Linked DNA regions of Neurospora crassa OR74A. The main gene of each other region encodes a partner of the protein of the gene in region 2 in a complex. Links are inferred from orthologs where the notes say so. Each region holds a gene or a part of one and is shown on either strand. Other genes may lie near its edges. The genes, in order: mus-8 and NCU07544.

Region 1 (3,799 bases), on a different chromosome or scaffold from region 2:
GAGTTGCCTATGGCCATTTCTTTGCTCTTTTGGGTAACTTGCAATCAATTTTCAAGATACCTCTCTACGTTGTCAATTCGAGCTTTCAAGAGGCTACCGCTCGCTGTAGGTAGAGGAGCCTAGCCAAGTTCAGCTACCCACAATATATAAACAACCTCACCCCTCATGCAGATCATACGCAAAGCGTCAGTCCTACAACATAAAATCGTACCTATGCAAGTTATGAGAAGTCTTCCAAAAGAGCCATGTAGAGCTGGGTAAGTCGGACCAGGACGTACCATACAGACTTGAGAACCTTGTTTCCAGATTGCAGGGTTAAAAGTGTTCGGAAGCCACGTACACTAATGCTCTCTGACGGCCGCCAAAAGCATCTGACAGCCCTTTAACCCTGCGTTTTCTGGGCATTTACGATAGAGGTAGTCAGCCTGTCTTTCACTCTCACAGGGACCCTTGCATCCAAGGTATGCCTGTTAACGTGAGCGTGTATTAAACAACGCCGCAGTTCGAAATGTGCACGCTAGACTTGACTCTCAGCCTTAGGTATAGGTGATATAAATCATGTGGATGTAAGGCACCAAGCGGGGTCATGTACACTTTCGTCAAAGAAACAGAGGAAAGCTGAGAAATGCAAGACTCTCTGGAAACTCGTACATCTAAGCCGGCCGACATAACATGGTGAGCTTTTTGCAATGAAAGACACTATGCCATCTCTTCATCTCTAAGACAAAAGAAAAGAACGCTATCTAGGGCTTTTTGGGGTGAGTTGAGGTATCCAGGGACTGCCCTCGCCAGATGTGCTTGTGTTGGTATGATACGAGCGCCTAAACTCCAAACCCGACAATCGCCCTAAAGAGTGAGAAAAACCAAGCACTCCCGCTCTCTCCATTGCAGACAAGCAGGCTGACTCTCAGCCATCAATAGGCGAGAGATGCGGATATTTGAAATACAACAAAAACGCCCCGAAAGAACGACGCCTCCCAAATGCAATGTAATATCACGACATCCGTTCCACCCTCACGCCCTAAAAGGCCAAACCGCCGGGTATCCTCGAATGTGGATCATCTCGCAACTCGTCGTCGGTCGACAACTGACTGTTGATATAGCCAAGAGATCTGTATCGAACAGCCCAGTGAGCAATATCAACACCGACTTGCAGCACCCAGATCAATCATTGGCTTTTTGCCATTGAGGGCCCCGTGGTGATAAATGTCGTCACTATTCAATCCTCCCAGCTCTTCTCAACAGTTTCCCGGACCCTCTTGTGGTATTCTTTGCGGTTGTCCTTGTATAGATTGGAGGCTTCGACGTTTGCAGGCGATCCTGTGTTCGGGTCATTGAGCAAACTAGTCAAGACAGTTTTGTCAGCATAATAACACAACGCAAAATGAACGTCAACAAGATATTATGCAGTCGTACCTCTGAATACTGGTAAGAACAGCCGCGACGTCGTACGTAGGACTCCAGCGGTTCTGAAGGATATCGAGACAAAGTTCGCCAGTGGCGTAAACATTGGGGTGGAACATCTCGCTGATGAACTTGACCGAAGGAGGCTTATTGGGATACTGCTCCTCAAAGTGCATCACCAGGCGGAAGGTGCCATCTTCGAAGGGCGTATCGGCGGGTCCGATGATCACGGCGTTCCTATATGGAGACTCATGTCAGTCATTGCCATGCCGGGGGTCGACCGCCCATAACGACACCGCAGCAAAGATCGTTCTCCTTACCATGTCATAACATTATCGGGTACGGGAGAGGCGGAAACACCAGCGGGAGGATCGGTTTGCATGCGCTGTCGAGGAACATGGTGAGTATATTGTGCTCATGGCGGCCAAGTCATCAAGCGGTGTGAACCCAACGGGGTGGCTCATGATGTCTCGCACCTTGAAGTCTCGCATGAGCCGGCGGCGGGCAGCGGTTGACATTTTGGCTTTGGTGATGGATGATGAAGTCGGCCCAGGCGTATGGAGAGAAAGCTACAAGGTTGATGGAGTACGTAGGATCGATGCGATACTTTGTTCGAAGTCGAGATGGGTTTCGTGGTTGGAATAGCGAAGAGACAATCAAACGAACTGATTTGAAGGGGCGGAGATGAATGACGGAAACCAGCAGAGCCAACAAGTGAACGCGCATTAACGACCGCTATCTTATCATACCCAACTGATTGCCCGGAGGGGGGCGTCACAAAGAAGCTAGGAGAACGCGCGCCGAGGGCAGGGGCAATGAACAGTGACTGCCCCGGTTGACAATTGCCGCCGGATTGTTAATAGCACTTTTCTGATTCTCGGCCAATTACACTTGGGTATGAAGCGACTGGTGGCTCGTGCGCGAGGTGACTGCCAGCTGATGGAATGGGATCACACAGTCACACACCTTCTCTCACGCCACCGCCGAATGGTTGTCCAGCCAAACATCTAACTAATCGAACTGACAAATGAATCCCAAGAAAACATCAGAAATTGTAGCATGACAGCCAATTGTTCGGGTTGAATCAGTGATTTGATCAAGCTGTCTCCTGTGGCATCCCCCGGCAGCTGCCCGAAAACACTTCAACGCCGCAATAGGATCGTTGCTTGGAACCAACGCAACATCTCAAACATATCGCGTTGGGAAGCTCGGCTTTTGTTCCCGCGTGTAAAGTGGTTCGCTTCTGCCCAACATCCAAAGACGCGCGCGGGATGGCAATTGCAGGGACAACCGCGACTGGGATAGATTGTTAAGTGATGCGAAACGACTCTTGAGCGTGCAGTGCCCTGGCCTTTTGATCCCTGATTTTATGCGGGCAGTATCCGGTACAGCTAGGTATGATGCCGGCGCTGGGCAACAGGAGGCTGCGGAAAGAGTGAATGAACTGCTTGGAGAGCATCCACCCCCGAATCGATCCGTTGACCGTTTCCCCTCCGCTACGGCTTCAACTCTGGCTCCATCTGATGTTTCTCCATCCGCCCGTGGGTACGGCACTCATGGGCTCATGACCCAAGCAGGGCATTCTTCAGTTGTTGTGGATGAGGAGCTTCCCCTGTCGGTCAGCGGCAGGCTCCACGGGAAACCCCGGATACCAAGCTTCTGTGTCCCTTGCGCCCGTTGGGGTCCCCGCGGAGGAACCACGGTGGCGGCCACTGTTTGGCGCTCAATTGGCGGGGTGAAGCATCGCTTTGGTGTGAATCCTCTCCACACATGTACCGTCACAAGCCGACCGGTGCCATCATGGCATCTGACAAGTTCCGAGGAAAAGAAAGCGGGAAGGAGAGGAAGAGACCACCTAGCTATCGCCTCCCCAACTGGTAGTTTTATTAATCATTTTTAAACAATAGAAGAAAGTCTTCCCTGTGATTCTGTCCCTACTCCCAATTATTTCCTGCTCCTGTTTTTGTGTTGCCTCTCCTGTTGTGCTGTTGTTCATTCCCCGTTCGGCCATCTTCCTTTCTTCCTTCTCGCCAGATTCCCCTCCGACATCTGCGCTGTGCAGTACCGCCCCTACGTCCTGTAACTCATCGTCACCAGCTTCCGACATCAGAATGGTTCTTAGCCACGCCAGGACAGCCGCTGGCTCGGCTTCGCGCACTTCCCGTGTCGCTTGCGCTCGTCTTTTTTCCACCCAGTCTGCTCTCCGCCAGCAGATTCAGGATGCCTACATTCTCAGTGGTGTGAGGACACCAACGGCCAAGGTAAAGCGCTCCGTAAAATCAGCCATTTCCACAACACAGCGCTTGTGCTAACGTCTGCCAGTTCAATGGCTCTTACACCACCGTTCCTGCTCCCAAGCTCGGTGCCGTTGCCATCAAGGAGGCCGTCAAGAGGT
Region 2 (4,434 bases):
CTTTTCCGCTGTGAGAATAGCAACCCGCTCCTCCAGAGCAGTGAAATCCATCACCTTCTTATGGGCGATACCCATAGCCTTCCTATATGACTTCTCGAGTGCTGGAAGCTCCTTGTTGATCGCCTCGTAATCCCGCTCCAACTTGGCAAACTTCTCACGGAGCTCTTCAGCCGAGAGAGTGCTTAAATCATCCGTCGGGGCGGCCTTGGCTACATCTTCCGTTGGTCTTAACCTCTCAAGTTCGGATTCTAGTTGGGTTACGCGATCTGTCATGGCCTCAACAAGCTCATTCAGGTGAGCGGATGCTGTCTTTTCCTGTTCCTGGCTTGCCTTGCGCATTGCAAGTTCAGCAAGAAGTTCATCCCTTGCGGAGCGGATCCTAGTGAGATCCTGGTCCTTTTGTTGTATCTGGTCCTCCAGGTCTGACGTGAGAGCCTGGGCTTCTTGTTCCAGGGTGGCACGGTACGATGTTCGTTCGGCCCGCAGCTTCTCGGCGTCTTCCCGGAACTGCTTGTTGACGGCCTCCAGGTTGTTGATGCGCTTGATGAGATCCTCGTTTTGAGCCTTGAACTGCTTGAATACGTCGGTCCGGGCATAATCTTCCTCGGAAATGCCCTCCTTCTTGATCTTGAAACTGGCATTTTCTTCTTGCAAGGTCTTGATTTCGGCAAGAAGAGATTCAATCTGTTCTTTTTGCTTGTTGGCCACGGCAATGGCTTCCTTGTATTTGGTCTTGTACTCGGCGCCGTCGCCGTTTTCCGCAATTGAACTTGTGCCATTTTCGTCATTTGTGGTTTGTCGCGTTGTCGAGTTGGCCAGTGCCTGCTGTTCCAATTTTTGGACTTGGGCACTTCTAACCCTATCGAGCTTCCGTTCCGCCTTGATCACTTTGAGCGTCGCGGTATCATATTGTTCGGAGAGCGTCGCATTTTCGGCCTGGAGTCTGTCGATTTTCACTGCTAGTTCCTTTTGATTTGCCAGCAAAGACTTCACCTGTGCTTCCAATTGCGCCACATCGGGCTTGACCTCGCCCCGGGAACTGGCGAGCTTGTTGAGTAGCGACTCGACCTTGAGAATGACGGGTTTCTTGATGTCGTCCAAATGTTGGCGGAATTCCTTGCTGTCCTTAAAGGCGAGGCTCGATACCCAATTGGAGTCTACGGGCTTGAGGGCTATGGATTTGAGGGACCCTTCGACAATCAACTCTAGCTCTTGAGTCAACTGGGGGGTTGTCAGCGCGCTTTGTCGTGTGGAGATATGAGTGGGGCCGAGACATACCTGCGATAGCCAGTACTTGATAACCCGCAAATGATCATCGTGAAAAGCCGCGCTTTTCTCGGCTTCTTGTAGACGGTGTTCTAGGTCGACCTTTGACCGCTTGTACTCGAGCATCTGCCGGTAAATGGCACCTTTTTGATATTCCTGCGCATTGTAACCAGTCAGCCAAGCCGTCGCCTCCAAGCCCGTGAAAGGAGATTCATGTACACCGTGGGCGAGTCAAGGAGCGTGGTATTTGGGAGTAGGCAGGGTCAAGGCATTGCATGATGAAGAGGGAATCCTGGGAGCCGGGCGTGCTGTTGCCAGCAAGCCGCGCATTAGCAAGGGTCGAGGAGAGTACCCCAACAAAAACATCGCGGTGAGGGTCATCAGGAGGTTGGCCGACACGTAAGATGCTATCTAAAGCGGACGCGACTGCGGTGGATGGCAAGCGGCGTCGAGGGGCTGAGAGGATAGGACACGCCGGACGGCGTGGAGGATGTGAGGGGCTAGGCTTGGATGTGGTGATACGGGGAAGGGCGAGAAAGGAGGGGGTGGGTGGGTATGAAGCGGTAGCCGACAATTTGTGGAACTTACCTCAATCCAAGCCTCTTCCCTTGAATCGTTGGAGTCGTCCTTGGACTTGCTGGTGCCGTTGACAGCCTGTCGCTTGCTAGGAGGGGCAACGTCGTCCGCGTTGGCGGCGGGTCTCTTCCTGTCCTCCATCTTGACGGTGGTAGGACGAGGCACAGCGGAGGGAGAGGTGGCAACCGGCATGAGGTGAGGCGCTGGAGGGAGCGGACCGGGAACTCAGTTGTCGGCGCGGGCGGCGGAGGGCGAAAGCGCGAGCGAAGGACCAAGGCCAGAAACCAAGCAGCAGCAGGCAGAAGAAAAGAGGTTGAAAGGAAAAGCGCGGTCGGCAATGGAGAGCAAGAACGGAAGGCGAGAGCAGCCAGCCGGGCGTGCGTGCGTGCGTGCGTGCGTGCGTGCGTGTGTGCGATGAAAGACGTGGTGGTCTCTGTAATGGTTGACCTCTCTTACCGCCACTGCATACGGGGTGTGGATGACTCGTTCTCCGTCGTCGATGAGGGCGTCAACGGATGCGGAGGGGCGTGTCGGCGACGACGATGTGATGGGTTTGTGGGTGAGCTGGGTGGGTGGGTGGGTGGGTGGTGAAGTTGGACGGACAGACCCGGTGCGCAGACTTGGTGGAAAAAAGACAGTCACGGCTCGCTGCCAAAAAGGAGCGTGCGGGTTCCAGTCTTGAACAAAGTGTCGGAGGATGGAAAGTGTGGAAAGGACGGAGCAGCACCTGAGGCAGGTCGAAGAACGTGACTGGAGAGCCGAGCCGGACGGGCTCCAGTTTGACCCAGCCTAGATAGGTACTTAGAGTAGAGAACTTAAGTTGAGAGGGACCAGCGCAGCAAGCCGCAACGGACAGGCCGCCGAGGTGTCGAGGTTAGGTAAGTAGGGTAATTGAATACAATGGGTCGATGAATTACTGTTCTCTGGTTAGTCCCGCGTCTTCCATCTGTTTGTCTGTGACGAGGAAGGGCGGGAGCAATGGCCTGGAGGAGGAATCAAGTCTGTCAGTCTGCAACTGCAACCTTTCCACATTCTCAACACCTTCGTTCCTTCGCTCATCGGCCGCTGCTGGACACAAAAAGTGGGTCTTTGAACGGGAGCGCAAAGCTGGAGATGGACTGGCGGCGAACCCGCCCGCCAGACCGACAGAATCCACTCTCTCGCCCTTTGGATGCGTCACGCTAAGCCTCTTTCAGCTTTTGGTTGGCCAGCGGTGCCTTTATCGCACTTTACACTACAAGTACTGCGTAGATTCCTCCCATGCCACTGGCCGATGTGAACTGGTACCAGACTACCCGGAGCCAGTGGCCCAGTGCACCACCACCACCGGCCGGGACTGGACCACCCACCCACCCCGCCCATCTTTTTTCCCATCACCACTTTATCAGTCAACAATCAATTAGGCGGGTAACCTCTCGCGCGTCTGTCTTTCAGTCGCTATGTGCAGCAATTGACTCCCTTGGCCGCGCGCTATCCTCGATCTTCAAACCTCACGGTTTTCTGGACACACACCAAACCAATTCGATACCCGCCAGAACAAAGTCGCATCGCTTGAGGCTCATCATAACCCTACCATACATAGTCTTTGTTTATCGTCGGCAGCCTTGTGTGGGCCATGCTCACCAAAACATCGACGCCTCCCCTTCTCTGTAGTTGATTCCCGGTAGTCGCCGACTATTCTCCAGATGCTCAAGAAACCGGGCTTCGGCCCCAAGGTCAAACCCAAGGTGGTTGCTCGTCGCAACGCGCCTCCTTCAGCAAAATCCACCGATTCAACTCCCGCCCCGACCGAGTCGACAACCTCACAACCTACCACAGCTGCCGCCACTCCCACAGCCGAGTCCGGTCCCTCGACCCGTCAGGTGTCGCCGGCTTCAGCTTCAGCTCAGCCTACACCCCCTGCAACTCTCGCAAGCGATACGGTCCCCGAGAAGGAGTCTTCGAGTGTTGCCAAACCGGTTTCCAGAGATGCCGCTCCAACGGACAAGCAAGCACAACCTGCCACGATCTCAGCTACAGCTTCTGTTCTAGCTCCGGCGCCAACTCCAGCCCCTACCGCAACGGCGAGTACCCCCGTGGAAAAGCCAGTAGAGAAACCAGTTGAGAAGCCAGCCGAGAAACCGACAAGCGAAAAGAGTTCGAATGCGACGACCGCGACCGAGAATCCGAAAGCAGCGGCACCAAGACAGACACCTTCCAAAGCCAGGGGTACACCGGCGGCGGTCATTACTCCGACCATCATCGAAATCACAAGGCCCAGAGGCAGAAGCTCCGTGGCGACATCAGAAATCATAGCACAATCTCCATCCAGAGCTACACGCCCGACACCTACTGCCGATCCTTCAAGTACCACGTCCTCGGCCACCCCCAGTGGAACCTCGTCTACAGAGGCAGCTTCAACGCGTTCCAGCACAGATACTACACAGCCGGTTACCCAGTCCGAGAGCTCTGCTGAGAGTCGAGCAGAGTCAAGTGCCGAGGCAACGGCTGCACCAACCACCAAAACTACCAAGAAGGCGCCCGTACCAAGGGCACCACGGGCTCCTCGAAAGCGCAAGGCGGACGCAACAGTCGATGAAGAGGGCAACGATG

What was found.
Region 1: the proteins of NCU07544 (region 2) and mus-8 are in contact, whole or in part, in a crystal structure (PDB 7W75), measured with the Kluyveromyces lactis proteins. The link is inferred for Neurospora crassa OR74A from reciprocal best matches to the Saccharomyces cerevisiae genes BRE1 and RAD6. Residues at the interface, in XP_451665.1 of Kluyveromyces lactis: Ser17, Glu18, Pro19, Leu20, Thr21, Gln22, Val25, Ile26, Phe28, Gln29, Ala32, Leu33, Arg35, Cys36; in XP_452450.1 of Kluyveromyces lactis: Met16, Lys17, Glu18, Ser20, Met39, Ile41, Asp50, Thr52, Ser148, Trp149, Asp152, Met153, Glu154, Met156, Ala157.

What each region holds. Positions count from the first base shown.
Region 1 is NC_026504.1:1,993,854-1,997,652, reverse strand, and holds mus-8 (mus-8), read right to left. Parts: upstream 2,246-3,799; 5' UTR 1,923-2,245; coding exon 1,881-1,922; intron 1,790-1,880; coding exon 1,725-1,789; intron 1,642-1,724; coding exon 1,417-1,641; intron 1,344-1,416; coding exon 1,220-1,343; 3' UTR 531-1,219; downstream 1-530. Other genes in the region: NCU09732 (acetyl-CoA acetyltransferase), read left to right, coding at 3,516-3,665, 3,727-3,799. UniProt on the Saccharomyces cerevisiae protein: E2 ubiquitin-conjugating enzyme that accepts ubiquitin from the ubiquitin-activating enzyme E1 and transfers it to a E3 ubiquitin-protein ligase.
Region 2 is NC_026503.1:4,425,764-4,430,197, forward strand, and holds the start of NCU07544 (ubiquitin ligase BRE1), read right to left. Parts: upstream 2,829-4,434; 5' UTR 2,035-2,828; coding exon 1,855-2,034; intron 1,575-1,854; exon of another isoform or gene 1,486-1,574; intron 1,423-1,485; coding exon 1,279-1,422; intron 1,222-1,278; coding exon 1-1,221. Other genes in the region: NCU07543 (hypothetical protein), read left to right, coding at 3,528-4,434. UniProt on the Saccharomyces cerevisiae protein: E3 ubiquitin-protein ligase that mediates monoubiquitination of histone H2B to form H2BK123ub1 in association with the E2 enzyme RAD6/UBC2.